Schizosaccharomyces pombe: one gene and its partners. The protein of the gene in region 3 binds, or shares a complex with, the protein of the main gene of each other region. Each region holds a gene or a part of one and is shown on either strand. Other genes may lie near its edges.

Region 1 (3,692 bases), 2.2 Mb from region 3:
ATTTAATCCAGAAGTCATTAGTTCGTTAGCCTCGCGTCAAGATTTACTTTACCGAATTCGGGATAAGCTTTTAGTATCCTATGCCCGGAAGGCAAATTGTGATACCATTGTTTTTGGTGATAGCGGTACTACAATTGCTGCAAGAGTTCTTGAACTTGTGGCAGAGGGTCGAGGTTTTGCGATACCATGGTACACTTCTGTCTGCTCTAAGCTTCCAAATTGCGATACTTTCCTACTACGTCCCCTACGTGAAGTTTTGTCTTCAGACCTCAAGTCGTATATGAACATTAAGGGATTAGCTTTCTGCGATAGCTTAATTGAAGCACGTCCTAATACTATTCATGGCGTTACAGAATCATATTTCTCATCGCTGAATGATACATTCCCAAGTCTGGTTAGCACCGTTGTCAAAATGAGCTCAAAATTGCATGTGCCTTCTACAGAAGCCATATGTACCATCTGTAATCTACCAATGCAAGAAGATGCTGAGACTTGGTTACAAAAAACTACGGTTGAACATCCGGATTCCGTTGAAGGTATTAAGAATCAAAATGTTTGCTATGGCTGTTCTGTTTCTTTAAAAAGCTTAAAAGGGACGTTGCATATTCCTGATATTGAAAAAGAAGGGATTTGATACATCTGTACACTTACTACCTGGTTAACTAGAGTATTTATGGGAAGATAAATTTGGATAGGGTTTTGTATTTCGGACAAAAAGGTTAGACATAATAACATAACGAAAATGATTAAATTGAATTTTCTTTTTTTTGTATGAAATAATAAGTAGTTTGTAGAGGAATCTAAGGGGACTTTTTCTTATAAATTTCATGGGGCTTTGCTTGATCGGAAAATGGACTCCAAATACCACGAACGGATGGGTTTGTTGACTCAACAGGATATTTTATGAGGCGAGGTTTCAAACCATCACTATCTCTGCATAGAATTGCTTTTTGAAATATTGAAGACGCTGACATTTTCCTTGTACAAATGACCTTCTCTCGACCAGTATCTATTATCGTAGCATTAGTAAAAAACACTATTTTAAGGAGTTCATATTTATAAAACTAAGAGGATCACCATAATAAGAGAAAAGTCTTGGACGTACTGTAATAAGCTCGGATTAATGGATGCTTGCCTTGGCGGTTTGTAACATGAAATTCCACATCTTGAGATTCTTTGGCCAAAGACTCAAGCTTTGTGGATAAAAATTCTTTCATGCCTTTTGAGCTTCCACCCCAATTACAATACGAAAACTCAATTCGACGGCACTAAAAAGAAAATTAGTAATACGAAGTTAATGAAGGCCAATCTTTTTTTTTTTTTTTTTTTTAAAAAAAAAGAAAGCTGATTAAATCTTACTGGGCGGGTAAATGAACCTAGTCCATTTTTGGGAATTGAAATTTTAGGAATGATTTCAATCATCATTAAGTGAGTAAAAGGCCGTAAAAAAGGGGATACCGTCTTTTAAAAACCAGAATTCTTAATATGCTATATTGAAAAAAGTTGGGTGAGCAAATCCTTGCAGAAATAATGAAAAGTCGGTATGGAGACGTAAAGGGGTGTGTGGAAATTCGCAAATCCCAAATTGCTCTAAACTTCAATACTTGTTCCAATTGATTTAGAATGTTAAACTTAGTATGCAATTAGTTTTATAAAAAATTTTAGCAACAAAATCAAGTTTACTGTCTACCTACAGTTTCTGGTTACACACTTTGCAATACTTTACCTTTCTGCTCTTCTCTAAATAATGATATCTAGAAAGTTTACAGTGATTTTTTAACGTAGTACATGGACTGCGAACAAACATAATATAGGTTTTTTAAAACGAACAATTTTGATTTAATATCATTCATTTATGCAGAGATATCCTTTTCTGAAAGAGCAAAGTTGTATCGGTTCTTGTACTCGAAGTTCTTCAGCCTAGATATTTGTCAACATAGCAAATTAATACAGTAAGCAACACCACTAATATCATTTCTAAAATAATGGCTGAATTTCTGATTTGAATATCTAAGGAATTTCATTTCATGAAGCTTTATTTATCCCTCCTAAATGAACAGAATAGCAAGAAAATATATTTCACCAGTATAGCATAAGAAACTACTGTGCATTTTGTAATAATTTATTTAATGCATTCTAATACACCTTCGTTCATATACAGTACGATCGACCCTATCCTTATCTTGGCTATATCAAGGTTCAGTATGCCGCACTAGTGCATCAGCCAGCCTATCGATGTTTATTTACTGTCCGCCACTGTATGGAAGTTGTCGTTTCCCTATCCGAATTTAATAAAAATTTTGTAAAGAAATTGATCTAAAGCGTTAGTTACTTAGTCTATACTAGACGGTTCCTTACAAAAAAATTTGACATTTTTCATAGTTGATGTAGATAACTTAGGAAAATCAACAGAATGTCGTTTCGTGTAAAGGGATGGAGTGATCAGTTCTCTGAGTCATTCTATGAGCGAGCAACCACTTTGCTTACGGCTGCTTTAAACAAAGGCACTAAACACTCGATGATTGCAGACCACATCACTGTAAAAGAGTTGGATTTGGGTCCCCAACCTCCTCAACTGGAAATTTTAGAGGTTGGCGACTTAGCGCCAGACCGCTTTCAGGGCCTCTTTAATCTCCATTATTCGGGTGATGCTTCTTTGGTCTTGCAAACAAAAATTCGTGCCAATCCATTATCGGTGCAAAAAAGTAATGTTCCCAGTTTTAGTTCTCGTAATACAATGTTAGCATCTCGTGCACCGCTTACTGTGCCTATGTTTTTACGACTTTCCGACTTAAAGCTTAACGGAATAGTTGTTTTGGTGTTTTCAAAGCAGAAAGGTATCACTGTGGTATTTCGAAACGATCCTTTAGAATCCGTGCGTGTATCTTCCTCCTTTGATTCTATTCCTGCTATTGCTCGCTTTTTACAAAGAGAAATCGAGGTGCAACTGGTCTCCCTGTTTCAGGAAGAACTTCCTTCCATCATATACAAAATGTCAAGAATTTGGTTTGCCAAGTCCGACTCTAATCTATCTTTTCAAAAAATTCCTTTCACTTCTCCTAACCAATCTCATACTTCTCTGGCTAATTATAACCCAGATTTGCTAGATGGTCCTCCCGACTATCATGAATCTACGAAAGTCGACACTCATCTCCCAATTAAAATGGGCCCATTGGATGTCCAAACGCATCCTAACATTCGATCTATTGCTTCTTTAGCCTTATCCAGAAAAGCACTACTTCCTATTTCTTCTCCTTCAATACCTATGTCCATATACCGGTCAACTCCTCCCGATACGATTATACAGCAATTGACTACTCAATCTGATGATATTTCTGCTGTATCTTCCCCTGCAACCCAATATTCCGCATCAGACTATCTTGGTTCAAATGACACCACGGCTAGGCCATCCATTTTTGGTCGTAGTCATGGTACCTCACAATTCCGCCGCCGAGAACGTGTCAAGAAAAGACATGTAATTAAAATTCATGAAGCATCAAACAAGTCTGCTTCCTCTTCCGAAACTTTTGTTGGTTCTAAAAACGTTGACCTTACTGAATCTGCGTTTGATTCCATACCTGATACTCCTACAAAGATTATTACCAACATTAATAAACTTAAAAGGAATTATACCATCACTAACAACTGGTTGGAAAACCTGCAGCAAAAGATTCCGTCCGAGGTTGATAACG
Region 2 (3,759 bases), 2.1 Mb from region 3:
ACGAAGCAAGGCATCGCTATTATAGCGTATTGGTACGCAGTGCCTAATTAATGCTAACTTGTGCGTAAATTGATATTGACAGCACAATGATTCAATTTCATTCCTTAACAAGAGCCATCTCTTTTTGTTGGATGCTTAGAACGCGTGGATTTTTAGGCTATTCAAGTGTTTGGTTTTGATCTATTTATCTATTTTATATTTTAATTTCGCATTTTATTTTGCAATGTTCAAGTTGGAACTCAAACGTATATAATCACTATTGGTAAAAGGCTCTTCAAAATGCCAGACGAAAAGTTACCTCAATACAATGAAGTTTGGAATGATTTGGAGAAGGGTTGTTTACATTCTTGTCCTTCATATTCAGTCAATAATCATGTAAACAATCCAATTGTCAAACAAAACTCAACATTAACACAACCATCGTTACGAAAAAAAAATACAATGGCTGCACCTGCTAGATTAAGAAAGCGTTCGGAAAATGTGCGACTTACACAAGCTAGATATGCGATATTTCATATCTTCCTTCCTTTCATTCTTACTTTATTGCTTTATCATAATTTTTATAATTATTTCGATCAGGCATTGGCGGATCTTAATTCTGTGGTTAAATATGTTATTGAAACTATAGTGTTAATATTTACATACGTGATGACAGTGATTATTGTTTATTGTAAGTTTTTGAGATGATTTGAATTCATGGCTAACGATTTTCTAGTTTCATTTTCGTTAATTAAATTAGCGTTTGAAGAAGCTTATGTTTATGCACCATCTGTAGCTAAAGCGAATGAAGGTCTAGCTAAACATGTAGCTAAAACGATTGCAGGCCTAGTTAAATATGTAGCTAAAGCAATTCAAGGTTTGGCTCATATTATTTTATCCTTACTGTTGTTTATTCTCGGGCTCGAAGTAATAGAACAAGATGAAGAGACTGGCGACGTTGAAATGTCGTCTATGCGAGGCCAAGCAATTACCACAGAGCCAGCAAGTGACAACACAATGGCTGAGGGAACCGATTGCAACACTTCTAAAGATGTAGAATCGGGCAGCAGCTAAAAGTCATGGCTAGAAAAAAAAATCAAGGGGCTGCCAACCAGCTGCGAGTGTCTTTTTTATTTCATTACTAATTTTCTTACTTTCCTGCAGAAGCTCCTTTTTTCCCCTTTATTTCTATTTCTTGTATTATTACCTTATACGCATTGTCACTTAATCATTTCCGATGACAGTCATCACTCTTTTTCCATACATACATTTTTGTCTCTGTTATAGAGTAAACACGATGTGTTTCTGTGGTGCTAGGAAAAGTCATTTAACTAATGAATCTGGTTGTCAATTATAAATTAATCATCCTCTTTATTGTTTTACCAAATTGATATACAATCCTTAATTATGACTTTGTAAGATTTGCGAATTAAAAAATTGAACAAGTAAGGCATTACTCAAAAGACGCAAAGTAGTGATTTAACCTTAGTTTCTGTTTAATGCATAAAATGAGGATTCCATATATCATTTTCAAGTGTTCGGAGCTTTAAAATACAGTATATACAGGAAATATAAGTTCAAACTTGTTTCTAAAACAAATAAAAATGAAAAATCAATTTGGTGTAGAGCGAAAACCTATTTTAAATAATGCGATTTCCCAATTCCTGGTCAGTAGCAATTTCTTTACAAAAAGAATTAAAAAATTATTCAATTTGTATTATATGAAATCTTTCGTATTCAAAATCTACCAACATTCAGCCCAAGCGAAAAGTAATATTTTTTGCTATGTCCATAGGTAACAATATAATTTATTTCAGAGAACACCCATTGAAATTGCTGCTTATATTAACTGTGTAACATAATATATTAGGTCACAGAGAGATTCATTGCACTTTAAGTATCGTTAAGCAGATACCGAAATACGTGAGCGACACTTTAAATAGATATTAAACTGCGTAGCTGACCAGTATTCAAATTTTCCGTCACTCACCGTATCATTAAAACATTTACTGTTTTTGGCTGCTCAACGCGCAATGCTGCCTAACATCTGTGCTAGCAAACGATATGTGTTTATTGGGCACAACGTTTATACGCGGACGCGCTATTAACAAACTTCGCATCTCTTACAAGCATATATGTAAACAGCCAATCTGTACTCGTAAAAGGAAAGAATGCTTGAAAAGAACAAGTATCTCTATATATTTAGGCATATTCAAACGAATCAGGTACTTTTATCTCAAGGAAATGTTTTAAAAAAGACTGCGTTGTTTCAACTTCCCTACCCACTTCAAAAGCCAGTCGCTCCAAATGGTATGCGACCCGCTAAGCTCCGTAAAGACCATTGGGTTCCTTTACTAAAAGTCGAATTTCCTAATGAATCAATGTTTCAATCTGTTTTTATGCAACTGTTAAACTATCGAAAATATCGTTCTGTTCAACCACTGACTAGTGACCTTTTGAAATTGCCTATACCCGTTCGTAGAAGAAAAATAATGCGACAAGAGGTTCCTAACACGATTGCGGACTTGGCAGATATTTTAAATAAAGAAAAATTTCCCGAAAATTCCGTTCGTTTGCAACTGAGTGATAAATCCGATAGTGAATATGCAGATTGGCCCCCTAGTGTGCAGATTGATTCAGAGGAAATTAAACTCTCGCGAGGTTTCCGTGAAAAAACAACCGTAGACGAAGCTAGATGAAGCATAATATCATTACTTCTCTCACTTTCTTCCTTCAAAAACACCCCTCATCCATTTTTAGGCTTTCTTAAAGGGCATTATATGAAGTATAAGCTAACACATATTCATATTAGCTCAATCTTTTTTACTTAATGATAAAGTCCTTTTTACTAAAGACGGTTACGAATTCTTCCCAGTGTATCCAGTGTATTGCACTGGACAGCTTCCTTAGCTTATCATTGTACTTCAATGCGAGAGTATTGGCTAGATACTCAAGACAAGATAAATTTAATACAAATCGACACCAAATACTCGTATCTTTATTATTTTACCATTTTGAAGTTTTCGAGCTCCTATGAAATATATGCAAGATTAACTCATCACTTTATTGCCTCGTTTTTTTTTTGTTTAAAGTTTGGTCCAGAATAAAAAAAAAATATTAGCATCTAAAATAGAAATCATGGACCAAATATTTAAATAGTTATAACAATGCCAAAAGAAAAGACTTTATAAACCAAAGACATAAATACCATAAATCGTTAAAGAGCGGTAGTTATAGTTAAACTCTTAGAGTGGATTAATGCACAAGGAGGTAATCCTTCCATAAATATTAATAAGTCATCAACATATTCCTCGCTTTTTCGAAAGCTCTTATGAGTGTCGGCCAAAGGTGCTGGTAAAACAGTAAACAATACAGAAGTATTTTTAGTATGTTTCAGCACGATTTCATTCATAATTATGTATTGAGATCTCGAGGATAAATCGTTAAACGTCAACTTCTCTTTAGAATAGTCCCTTCCTATTTTTTTCTTTGGTGCTAGTCTATCAGATGAACTATCTTCTCGGACCACGTTGGGCATCAGAGATGACTCAATAGTACTGTCAGAATAAGTTCTTCTATTTTCTTGTTTTGGTGATAAAGAACGGTTTCCGAAAGAAGATTCAGTCTCAAACGACTTTACTGAATGCATATGTGGCCCAAGGCGGAAACTCAATGGCACACTTAAAGGTGGAGCACTCTTATCAAAGCTGGCAGATCTAAAGTTATAACCAGACATACGACGTGGAAAACGAATAGGTCCTAAGGAATCTACAGTATTTC
Region 3 (3,071 bases):
AACGAACATGGAGGAGTTTCACGCATTGGCAATTCTAATGCTCTCGGTCAACCTGTTTCTTCATCCTCTTCTTACAGCCACTCCAAAGGTCGTGATACCAGAAGTAGTAGTTATGTAGTATCCTCGGAAACGAGCTCTTTAAAATCATCGAGATTGATACTTAGTCATGCAAATTCTGTTCGAATTCAGCGATCGAAGGGCGATGTTATTTTGAATTTACATTTGCCTAAAGTGAACCCGGAGCGGTTTCTTCCTACTAAATCATTAAAATTAGAGGAAATGAAACCATTAGAGGAGAAGGTTCCTATATACCGCTCATCTTCCAAACAACCCCTTCGAATTCATCCTACTCATCCACTGCGTGTAACTGTTTGTCTTCCAGGTAGCAAGACAATTCAAGTGGCTCGTCGCTCTTTTCGTAATTCAATGAACGCTAATCGTTATGATCCTCAACGCCGAGAACGAATTGATTCCGGTTTATGGAGGGCGAAAAACTAGCTTGGTTTTTTCTTATTGTTATCGTTTATGTATACTTTACATGAGATTATAGTCTCTTTTGTGTTTTCGATGCATTTAATATTATTTACACGCTTACAACATAAACGTGTATTGAAAAAGGATGAAAGCTAAGAGATATATTCAGCTTTTTTGTTATTTTTTCACTCTAAATTCTTTTGCATAATATATGATATTTATACTCAACCGTACATAGTCAACAAATAAAATTAAGTAAAAAAATTCTTTGTTATACGCGTATTTTTAAAAAGGGTGTAGTTCATTAATCGTAATACTGAAAAAATTTAAGTAGTGCGAGCAGATTCAATTCACTAACTGCAATACTATTACATGAAACAACCTTATATTTAATGTTAAGTCCATTTTTTTTCTTAAAATAAAGATTTGCAGCATCACTAAATCAGTGAAGAAATGCTTAATGCCCTTCATTCGTTAAATTCTCGACGAATATTTCTAAAACAGTGAGAACATAAATGATGTGCCAATTTAAAAGACCCGCAAATAGGACAACGATTAACTGTTTTGTCTTTTAATGCTTTTCCGGACAGTAAGCGACTTCGTTTCTTAGTATAAGAAGTTTTTTTCTTTGGAACAGCAAGCAAAATGGAATTCCATATATTAGCTATTGAAGGGGGGGAAATAAATATCCTCAAAGAAATATGAGGAAGGGCGCTAGCTTGAAAAACTGATAACATTTTTTGGCTAATTGCCAAAGAATTTCCTCTTAAAAGAGCCATTTTCGACCCAAGCGCGAACAGTAGAATATTGTTGGGTACAGTAATGCTGAACAATATTTTAAAAGTTTTCTCAAGGTAAGGCGAACTTAGTTACTGCAGAACTTGATCTTAATTATATAGTTATAAAACGATGCATATAGCCGTTTTCTAAAACCAGTAGACCCAATCACAGATAGATTTACGATCTCCGAGAAAAGAGTTTGAAATAATTGGAAGTCGTCAAAAGGAAACTTAAAGACCAGTTACTTTGGTTTCGAGACAATGCTTAAGAAGTAGGCTGCTGCCTAAATCTATAGTCTGCTGTTGAGTAGTAATAACCCATGTATAACGAGACTCCTCAAATTCACTATTGCTTTGGCTTGACATTTAAATGCTAAGTGCGCTCTCTCTTTATTAAGTCTCGCAGTTTAATGTTGACAATTTTCTTAAGCTCATGAACTACGCTACAATCATAGTCCATTTAATTATTTGAAGTTTTCTACGTATTTGTACTAATTTTAGTAGATCAAAAATTTTGTGAAATATTCCAGCAGGCGTTTCACTTTGAGATTCCACATAATTGAAATTGAAACATCGCTTTAAAAGATTCAAACCTATTTTGACTGATTCAAGATCAATCTCAGAATCATGTACTTACATTTTGAATACTTTGATAAGTTAGTCTTCCTTTTAGTTTTTTTATAATGCATTGCGAATATTAAAAAGTTGAGACTTTTAGAAAGAAGCATTGTCTCATTTATTATAAAAATTATCCAAGTGTCACTGAGATCATTCTTGGCAGTAAGAAAAAAACAAAAAAAAAGGAACAGATAAGTAAAGTATGCACTAGAAAAAGGAATTAAAGTAAAGCAAAAAAGTAGTTAAAATGTACTCTGTTTGAATCTGCCCAACCTGCGGATATGGATTTTAGTGGAGGAGGCAAAAAAATAAACTCAGGTACATATATTCTAACGAACTGCAAAAGCATATTAACGATAAATAAACAATGTGAGAAGAAACAGTTTTTAAGCAAACGTTGGAGGATATTCCGAAACTTCTAACAGCAGATGTTTACTCAAAAACTTTTTTGACAAGTTAGCCTATTTACCAGAATGATGTATGGATTTTATCAAAGGGATAAGGGATGAAACTGGAACGGCTTGCTTAAGAAACGGATGCCTTAAAAGCTCACCGGAGCTAGGGCGTTGCTTAGGATTAACAGTTAAAGATTTAGAAAGAAAATCATGGAAAACAGAACTTAACAATTCTGGCCGACTAATCTTTGGAGTACCAATAGTAGCAATTAAATATAGAGCACGTAAAGGATTTTCGTTTAAATACGGGGGCTCTCCCTCTACCATCTCTATAGCCATAATACCAAGACTCCAGACATCAACTTTGAAACCATATTCCTTTCTAGTAACGACTTCTGGAGCCATCCAATATGGAGTACCAACCATCGTCGTTCGTTTCGTCATGTTACTGTCGATCTGAGCACAAAACCCAAAATCGGTAAGTTTAATATCTCCTTGAAGTGAGAGAAGGATATTGTCTGATTTTATGTCACGGTGAACAATGCCATTTTCATGGAGATGCTGTAAGCCTTCCAACGTTTCCTTACATATTGCAGCTATCTGACCTTCTGAAAGAGTGTTATTGGTAACCACTTCAGTAAGACTGCCACCGCGCATGTATTCCATTACCATCCACAACTCTGATTTATAGAAGAAAGTGTCAATAAAATTGACAATGTTTTTGTGATGATGTGACTTCATCACGAGTATTTCATTGACAATAAATTCCTTTTTTGGCTGTTGATTAATGTTCATTTTCTTGATG

Evidence for each region.
Region 1: mrpl32 (region 3) and mrpl51 share a complex: the UniProt entries of both Schizosaccharomyces pombe proteins name them as parts of the mitochondrial large ribosomal subunit.
Region 2: mrpl32 (region 3) and mhr1 share a complex: the UniProt entries of both Schizosaccharomyces pombe proteins name them as parts of the mitochondrial large ribosomal subunit.

What each region holds. Positions count from the first base shown.
Region 1 is NC_003423.3:1,697,815-1,701,506, reverse strand, and holds mrpl51 (mitochondrial 54S ribosomal protein mL43), read right to left. Parts: upstream 1,575-3,692; 5' UTR 1,426-1,574; coding exon 1,360-1,425; exon of another isoform or gene 1,269-1,359; coding exon 1,106-1,268; exon of another isoform or gene 1,010-1,105; coding exon 801-1,009; 3' UTR 635-800; downstream 1-634. Other genes in the region: cytosolic thiouridylase subunit Ctu2, read left to right, coding at 1-634; protein Mdm34, read left to right, coding at 2,414-3,692. UniProt on the Schizosaccharomyces pombe protein: Component of the mitochondrial ribosome (mitoribosome), a dedicated translation machinery responsible for the synthesis of mitochondrial genome-encoded proteins, including at least some of the essential transmembrane subunits of the mitochondrial respiratory chain.
Region 2 is NC_003423.3:1,799,650-1,803,408, reverse strand, and holds mhr1 (mitochondrial 54S ribosomal protein mL67 ), read left to right. Parts: upstream 1-2,118; 5' UTR 2,119-2,150; coding exon 2,151-2,678; 3' UTR 2,679-3,196; downstream 3,197-3,759. Other genes in the region: SPOM_SPBC18H10.18C (uncharacterized protein), read left to right, coding at 280-670, 716-1,053; vacuolar membrane cation-chloride cotransporter Vhc1, read right to left, coding at 3,197-3,759. UniProt on the Schizosaccharomyces pombe protein: Component of the mitochondrial ribosome (mitoribosome), a dedicated translation machinery responsible for the synthesis of mitochondrial genome-encoded proteins, including at least some of the essential transmembrane subunits of the mitochondrial respiratory chain.
Region 3 is NC_003423.3:3,906,320-3,909,390, reverse strand, and holds mrpl32 (mitochondrial 54S ribosomal protein bL32m), read right to left. Parts: upstream 1,540-3,071; 5' UTR 1,254-1,539; coding exon 942-1,253; 3' UTR 660-941; downstream 1-659. Other genes in the region: SPOM_SPBC1604.12 (uncharacterized protein), read left to right, coding at 1-498; PAK-like kinase Shk1, read right to left, coding at 2,333-3,071. UniProt on the Schizosaccharomyces pombe protein: Component of the mitochondrial ribosome (mitoribosome), a dedicated translation machinery responsible for the synthesis of mitochondrial genome-encoded proteins, including at least some of the essential transmembrane subunits of the mitochondrial respiratory chain.